2 linked regions of the Drosophila melanogaster genome follow. The protein of the gene in region 1 interacts with the protein of each later gene in a pairwise test. Each region holds a gene or a part of one and is shown in the gene's direction. Other genes may lie near its edges.

What was found.
Region 2: the proteins of CG12237 (region 1) and lobo interact in a two-hybrid assay, tested with the Drosophila melanogaster proteins (one large-scale study listed by BioGRID).

Annotation. Positions count from the first base shown.
Region 1 is NC_004354.4:19,640,682-19,644,559, reverse strand, and holds CG12237 (uncharacterized protein), read left to right. Parts: upstream 1-1,690; 5' UTR 1,691-1,862; coding exon 1,863-2,783; 3' UTR 2,784-3,369; downstream 3,370-3,878. Other genes in the region: Sec61gamma (Sec61 gamma subunit), read right to left, coding at 467-673.
Region 2 is NT_033777.3:25,190,752-25,195,638, reverse strand, and holds the start of lobo (lost boys), read left to right. Parts: upstream 1-1,862; 5' UTR 1,863-1,984; coding exon 1,985-2,401; intron 2,402-2,472; coding exon 2,473-2,601; intron 2,602-2,832; exon of another isoform or gene 2,833-3,354; coding exon of another isoform or gene 3,355-4,887. Other genes in the region: CG13653 (uncharacterized protein), read right to left, coding at 1-79; dan (distal antenna), read right to left, coding at 3,664-4,887. UniProt on the Drosophila melanogaster protein: Key component of the nexin-dynein regulatory complex (N-DRC), essential for N-DRC integrity. Involved in the regulation of flagellar motility. Involved in sperm motility. Required for the sperm to enter in the coiled storage seminal receptacle (SR) tubule.

The DNA of each region.
Region 1 (3,878 bases):
TACGAAATATAGGCTAACGAGCTTTAAACAAAATATTGCTTGTACGTTTTCTGGACATTTATTCTTGGTTCTAATGATGATGTCGGTTTATCAGCTTCATTTACAACTTTACTTTCTTCAAGCAATGTAACGTTGCGTCTCTCAGAGTTAAAAGAATCTCATTTGTACACGGAAAATCAATTTAACATTTATTAGCGGGGATGCGCACCCCAAACAAATGCTATGAAGACGGGTGATTCCTTTTTACATTTGAATCTTATTAACTAACTTGTTCATGAATGGAATATCGAAACATTACAATACGTTTTCGTACGTTTGTGTAGAATTTTGTTAGAAAGGCATTCGCTGAATGCACATGGTCCATACATATAATGCATGTTAACTAAACGAAAAAAAAAGACGTTGATCTGATGTATGCTATAATGGATGATTGGATGATTGGTGGTTTCCTTGCCACTCAGCGCATTTAAGAGCCCACGATGATATTGTTGATGGGGATGTGTATCAACTTAACGAAGAAGCCGATGAAGCCCATGATGCAGAAGCCCACAGCAGTGGCGATGGCGATCTTCTGGAACTCCTTGCGGTCGGGCTTGGTGCACCGCTTGACCAGGCGGATCGAGTCCTTGGCGAAGGCGCGTCCAGGCTCGGCAAACTTAACAACCTTGTCCATGTCTTGTCAGATATTTGGGATTCTGCAACGAAAGCGAAGGAAAGTGCTAATCAGTAAAAGGTATTCAGCGCTTTCACAGCAACGTCAGCTGCGACGTGGCAAATGGTTGGCGACGGCACAGGTGAAATCGCGTTGCCCATTTCCACAAATTCGCCCAACAAGTTATCCAGCTATCACAGCTCCAACAGGGGTCAGTGGCTGAAGATCACCATTAATGTCTGTGCCACCACCAACCCAATCGCTTCGATTCACCAAATCAGCAGGATTTGGTAAAGAAACGGGAAAAAGTGCAAGGTCCACAGGCAAAGAACGGCGCGCAGGGCAAATAAACCTCTGCTGCGTGTGCTTGATAGCCATTCAAACCATTTTAATTGAAAAACTGTGCGAGCGCAGCTGAAAATCAAATAAGCAAACACACATACCTCCGCTTTAATTCAGAATTTCCAACTAAATGAGATACAATCGTCGACTGCCGCGTAGACCCCGTTATTCGTATGTGTTTGCCGATGACAGCTCCACGTCGGCTGTCAAACGCCAGGGCTACGCTACACTGGGGCCGAGCTGTCAGTGGTGGCAGGGATGCCAGCTTGGCTATTTTGCAGCTGGATGCTATGAAAGCTTTGGAATGCTCCAAACGTTAGCTAATTTGTAGCCTAATTTTATTATATTCAAAGTTGAATTTTTGTTCACATTCCTTAACTATTTTTACTCGTTGGGGAGTAACCATATTATATCGTTAACTAGTTGAAAAAATGTGAGTTCACAATGCTTTAATGCTTCACACCAATCTTTACATAAGTAAGGTAACTGGATGAATTTCAAACAAAGAACTACAGATTTAATCGAACTAATAGAGCGCGTTATATTATTTCATTTTTAATCAAATATAATATTTACAACAACATATTATATTAACAACATTATATTTATATTGAAGCAAAACCTAATTCCAATTAGAAATAGAGATAATAATAAGAACAAGACAGGACTTGCACTATTGCATTTTTGTGGTATATAATCGGTATTTTGCACATCCAAGCGCACGCACAACGGTGTTTGCGCCCAGGCGACCTGGCATTTAGCATCGTGGGCGGCGCGGACACACTGGTCCTCGCACAAAACTCGCACTCGAACTTGCTCTCCGCGCGCTCTGAGCGCATCCATAGCCGGAGCAGGAGCGGAGCACACGATGTCCTCGAACCAGGAGCAGTCACCCGCCGCAGTGGCCGCGGCCGTGGCCAGCTGCAGGCTAAGGAAACAGCAGCGCCGTCGACTGGCGGCCTTCGACTTCGACCACACGATCGTTTCCCAGAACACGGACACCGTGGTGCGCGACCTGCTGCCCACGGAGGTGACGAGCGCCAAGGTCAACGAGCTGGTTGAAAACGACTGCTGGACGGAGTACATGGCCGAGGTGTTTCGCTTGCTGCACGAGCAACAGGTGTCGGAGGCGCGCATTAGGGACACCATTCGTGGCATACCCGAGGTGCCCGGATTCGTGCGCCTGATCAAGCATCTGGCCAAGCGGCTGCACTACGACCTGATCATCATCAGTGACTCGAACAGCGTCTTTATCGACGAGTGGCTGCGGGCACATAACTTGGCCGATTGCTTTGTGGCCATCTTTACCAATCCGGCGGAATTCGATGCCTCCGGACGGCTTATGGTCCGCGCCCACCACCAGCAGTCGGATTGCAAGCTGAGCGCCAGCAATTTGTGCAAGGGCCGCGTGCTGGAGCACTTTGTCATCGAGCAGGACCTGCGGCGCAGCATACGCTATGACCACGTCTTCTATGTGGGCGACGGCAACAACGACATCTGCCCCGTGCTGCGGCAGCGGGCGTGCGACTTTGCCTGCGCCCGCAAGGGGTTCGCAATGGAGAAGCACCTGCTCCGCAATCGCAGCAAATTGAAGCTGCGCGCCCAGCTGCTGATCTGGAAGAGCGGCTTCGATCTGATGGACCAGATGCTGGCCCTGCCGCAGCTGAAGACCCCCCAGGTGCAGGGCGATGGGGATCAGCCGGATCAGGATGCGGATACGGATGGCAAAGTACCGGAGGTGGCACGTCGGGCATCGGCAGTTGCCGGGCCGACCAAGTCGCCCAACTAAGGTGGCATGTGCTCGCATTTGGCACCGGCACGAGTAAGTAGAACGGGTAATCCTCGAGAGTGACGATTGCCCAGCTGCAGGATGGCCATCGCATAGGAAACTGCTACTTTGGAGCACGATATGGTATTTCATGGTATCGAAAGATACCGTTCCTTGTTCCTTGTTTTGGACTATGCTGTGCGATAGCAATCATGCGGTTCTACGATGCCAGGAGTACTCGTGAGGGTCTCAAATGCGAAACCATCCATCCCGATCCCATCATCCCCATCCAGTTGTTGGTTGCATCATGTGGTCTGGTCTGGTTCTTTATTTGATCCGCTCGCCACTTCGCTGCACTGGCCGTGCCAAGTGTACTGGGTGGATCTGTATTTATATCTGTGTGCCGGGACTTTACCTGCAAAACAATTTGTGGAAATCCAAACAGTACAACTTCGGAGGTGTGCCCAGGACTTGAGGCGTCAATTTGTGCTGCGGCTGTTAGTGTTTATTCCATGTGTCTATATTTAAACCTGTTGTAATTGAAGCTATTGCAAGCGCTGTATATGAGTGTCCATATTATATGCATTTGAATGTGTGTTTTGCCGTTACTGCACCCGCTGCACTACCTTTTTTTCCTGGGTTGGGCTGGGCTGGTCTGGAGCACTGGGTGCTCTTGGTGCACACCACGCGACCTAGAGCGGGACAGCAGCATGCCAGCTGCGTGGCCAGGAGCGGGACGGGGATAGCAGCAGATGCGCTTTCTGCGCAATTTTCTCGACTTTTGTTTACACACCTCGCAGGATGAGCCATTTGCATTCAGTAGAGTGATTGATTGTGATGGTCAGAACTTACATATGTATATAGAACCTATAAGATTCGTTCGGGGACACCCCCTACTATCAAATATACACAGCAAATAGCAAATATAGCAAATCCGGACAGTAGCCCAAAAGTATGCAGCGAAAAGATGATTATGAACTTTTGCGGGATTGTTAATATCCTCTGTTAGAATATTGATATTAAAAAAAAAAACAAACACGCATAAATATTTATATCGTATCGTCTGCTCGAGGTTCTTTATTGGGTGTCAGTGACAATCTTAGTATTAACATTAAT
Region 2 (4,887 bases), on another chromosome or scaffold:
CGCTCTTGATGTAGAGAGCCAGGCAGCTTTGCTGGATGGCCGCCAGCAAAATCAGAATGATAGCTTTTCCCAACTGCATCTTCAGATCGATGTGCTTCGTTCGGTGGTTGTGGCGAATGTGATGTCCTGTGCTCCTGCGTAGCTACCCTTATATACCTCGATCCTTTCGGACTGATCCGCATCCGCGTTAATTGACATAACCGCACATCAGCGTTGCGTGGCTGCGATAATCAGACAATGGCTGCAAAGGCGCTTGACACTCGAGACATCCGGGGCGCCTGCGCAAGGACCACTTTTGGCCAAGGAGTCAGCCCAGGACGACATGTGCTTGATTGAACCTCCGACGCGCAGCGCCTGCCTTTGTTTTTCTAGGGAACACTTAGCGCGAGCCGCGGCAATTAAACGGCAAACTGAGCGCACACAAAAATTAGTGCTTACGCATCTTGCCTCAGACGGCGGCCAGGTAGACCGCGTCCAGTCCTCAGTCCTTGCCACAGGACCAAGCTGGACGAGGCAGAGCAAGGCGACACCCAACGACAGGCGACTACTAGCGGCCAATGTGGGAATCAAAGTGCGTAATTGAGTCGCTTAAAAGCGCCAAATGGTTTCATGAATGTACCGCTCTCACCAGGCTCACCAGGTAGACGCTCGCCTTTCAAATGCGAAAGGAAGTACAAATAAATCCTAGCGCCAGCCATAAACGGATCAACTGCGCCGATCTCAATCCGCTGGTCTCCGCTCCTGCTCATCGACAAGTTCTGCGCTCGCTAATTATTCCTGAATGCGGGTTTTATTGATGCAATATAAATAATGCAAATGCAATTTGTGGTGCATGCAGACAAGGGGGTGGTCCCTAAAAAATGTGCCATCTAAGTAAGCCATTGCCACTGTCGCTGCCACTGCAGCTGCGGAAGACCAGCATTGAGTTTTCGACGGGTAATTATGTAATATGCATAATGACAATAAATAAAGTTAGTCGAAATATACATATGTATGTATGTAGGTAACCAGGGAAAAGATTAGGTTGAATGTGGAATTAGCTTTATTTAAATTAAATCAACAAAAAATGCACAAGGTGAAGAAGTAGTTCTATATATTATATCAATTTTTCACATTTAAAATATGTGACTTGTCATACAATTTACCAAATATTTATAAGTAGGGAAGTTTTGTGCCTTCTGTGCTATAATACAAATATAACTTTGATACATTCCATCAAATTTTATAGAAAATAGCTATTGAAAAAATAGCTAATTGAAAATGACTAGCGAAATGAATGGAAATTAAATAGTTTTTTATTTTCTTAAAATATAGCTATGCCTTAATATTCAAGGCTAAAAAGCAGTAGGTAATCAATCGTTCAAGGGCTTACCTACTATTTTAAAAATACTAATGTCAATTTTAAAGTTATTCTCTTCATGACATGAAGCTTACTACTATTCTTTTGCTAAAAGGTGATGGCCATATGCTATTCACAACCTGCTTGCTCTATTTTAAAAATGTTCGTTACAAAAAGACTTTTGGGTAAAATTGTTACCCTACTTCAATTTTACATGTAGACACTTAACCGAGAAAAAAGCAGTAGAAATTGATATACGAAGCAGGGTAAAGAAGTTCAAATCTAATGCCAAAGCAGTTACAAACCAGTACAACGGTTATTTAGCCCAGACGCAAACCAGAATCAGGAAGTAAAGTAATGTAAAGTAAAGTTTTCAACCGGAAGAAGGAAATGTTCGTTCTTATAAGAAGTTATTTCAAGCGAAACCCACACAAAACTAATTAGAATTACGAAAGTTTTTTAAGCAAATTACAATTTTTATATATTTTATTTGCTACAATGAACAGACTAGCACAACACAATACATATTTCAATTTCTGTCACATCTAGCCGTTAAAATATATATTTTTCTACAAACACCGTAGTTATAGAAACGAAGTTTCTTGTTTATTATTTTAAAGAGCCGGCAATTGTAACCACGCCAAAATGCCGAAAGTACTGTTTCAGAAGTACAAGAAGGTGGTGAGCAACATCGACCCGAGTCGCTATAGCGCCAAGTTCAAGGAAATCGACGAGCAGAGGCGCTCGCAAGGTTCGGAATCGGATTTTGCAGATGAAATGGAGGGCGAGTTCGAGGCGGAAATGGAGGAAATGGGATCTAGTGAATTTAGTTTATCCGAAGGAGAACCATCGCTCAATATCGGAAAGATCGATTTATCCTTTCCCGAAACAGTCGAGGAGTTCGAAAACAGTCCCCAGTGCTATCCTCCATCGTACTATACCCTCTCGCCCAAGGAGCGGTTGCTCCTGCTGTACGCTGAGAATTTCCGGAAGCAATTGGTTCTCAGCTACCCAAAGAGACGAGCCATGGTCTTGGCCCTGCCCAACGAATGCAAAGTACAGGTGAAGTCAGCACCATCTGCTCCTTTAGTGGCCAGCGTTTTGATAAATTGCCACTCTTAACCAACTTACAGAAATTCGTTTGCACCACCATCAGGCCAACGGCGTTTATTTACACGCAACTCATATCAAGTGTCGAGGAAATTGCCAAGTTTGTCGCCGATTTCATTCAGTATGAGCCACTGCAGGATCCCATAAATTTGGTAAGTCTATTATGGCAAAGTTGAACCAATCACATATCCATTATTCTTATGTTCCGAGCTCATGTAGCAATATATTTAAAAGTTTATGCGTTCTAAAATGTTCAATAACTTGACCAAGGCAATTTATACTTGTAAATATAAAAGTAAAACATTTAGGTATTTTAGTAGATATATATGAAAAACCACTTAGACCCTCCAATACGACAGCGGTAAGTAAATACGACGACAGTTCTAAGAGTTTCATAAAAATTATCTAATTATTTTTTATTGAACATGTATTTAAAATTACATTTAAATTTGTAAATGTTTTTATTTAAATATCGCATTAATTCCGAATTAAGAAAATTCTTTTGAGCACATTTCCATAGTTATTAATATACGAAATTTAAAAACGTTTGATATCAAATGCATGCCATTCGCGCCAACACACCTTGCAGTTCGAAAAGTATTTTTTCTTTTTCGTAACAAAAACTAAGGGCTATAACATTTTTCTAGAATGCATCATTGGGTGAAAAAACAAACTAACAAAACAGAGTCGGTTGTCTTTCCGTTCAAAAAGAAATGCATAATAGCTACAAATAGAGTTTCTCGATATATACACGTTAACCGTACGATTAATTAATTAATACAATGCAATGCAATGCAATGGAGTGGATTCGAATTGAATTGAAAGATACTGAAAGTATGCTCGATAGGTTTCACAGCTAGGAGATAAATTCAGTGGAGTCCTCCGGATGCGTGGAACCATGTGGTCTAACTGCTGGAGCTCAGTTCGTCGTACTGCTGGTACTCGCCCGTGATCTGGCAGTCGTCGGGGTCATCGTCGAGGTCACAATGTACAAATTCGTAGGGAGGGAAGAACAGGGAGCTGAGTAGGGTGGCCGACGATCGGTAGACGGCCGGCGCATAGACATGGCACCTCGTCGAGCCCTCGGCGGTATCTGCATTTGCATCTGTAGCCAGGACACCGGGTCCTGGCTCTGCATCGTGCAGAGCACCGTCTGGGCTATCCTCTATCTCTGTATCCGTGGCTGGCTCCGTGGGCGCCAACTTTGGCTTTTCCTATTTGCGACGGCGACTCTTGCCCCGCCCACTGCCCTCCTCCTCCGCGGCGTGCTCCTCGCTGTCCTCCGGCAAAGCGGATTTCTCGATCATCGGTGTCTCGTTGCCCGACTTGATGGCGGCTATTAGGAAACGAAGTTGCATCAGCTGCACGGCCGTCACGCGGGGATTGCTGCAATTCTCCAGCCACTGCAGGAACTTTTCGCCATGGCGGATGGCCTCGATATCCTCGTCCGCCGTGCAGTCCAGATACTTGGCCTTCTCCTCCTCGTCCGTTTTGTTTGAGTTATTATTGTTATTGTTATTGCTGGCGCTCACATCGTTGTTGTTCGTATGCGGATTGCTGGTGTCCTGGAAGCTGCCCTCCGATTCGGAGGATCCCTGTTCCGGCATCAACGGACCAGTGGCCTCCATTCCGCCCATCTTGAAGAGCATATTGTCTAGGATCTTCTTGCATTCGCTTGTGGAATTCGTGGTCTCTGGGGTTTTGGTCTTCGCCTTTGGTTCGGGACTCCTGCTGCCTGATGAATGGGCAATGGGACTTTGCGAAGGGGTCATCACTTTGCCGGCGGCTGAGAGATCCTCCGGTTTCCCGGATGCCTCCGGCTCCACTTCGCCATCGAGATCGGTTTCGGTGGCCTCGTCAGCCTCGGGATTCTGTTCGTTGGAGGACAAACTTCTCACCGACGGCGTCTCAGTCTCTTTCGTGAGATGGGAGTACAGTATGTTCGAGGGATCTCCCATGGATCCCCCCTCTGCGGCCGTGGTGGCCACCTGCTGCTGCAGTTGGTTGGCTTGCAGGGCGGCCAAGGTGGCGGCATTGGGATTCAGGGTATGCAGACTGGCACCGAACGCCTTGCACCAGTTGTACCACGCCGCGTTCTTCTCGTCCAGACTGCCCGACGGTGTGGACGAGGGTGTTAGCGGAGCCGAGGGTATCGGCGGAGTCTGTGCCAACTGACTCATGTGCTGCGGCGTGGAAGATCTGATAGGGGGACTGGTCACGCCCATGGGAATTGTGGGCGGATAAAGGGGATTCAGACCCAACATGGTCTGCTGCGACTTGAGCCAGTAGAGCAAGGGATCTTCGGCCAGATTGGAGAGCGTCATGGGCCCGCCCATTTGCGAAGGAGCAATCGAAGGACTGGGACTCTTGATATCGCCTCCCTTGCCCTCGTTCTTGATGCTCAGATTGAGGCTGCCCTGGCCCTCCCCCGGCTTCTG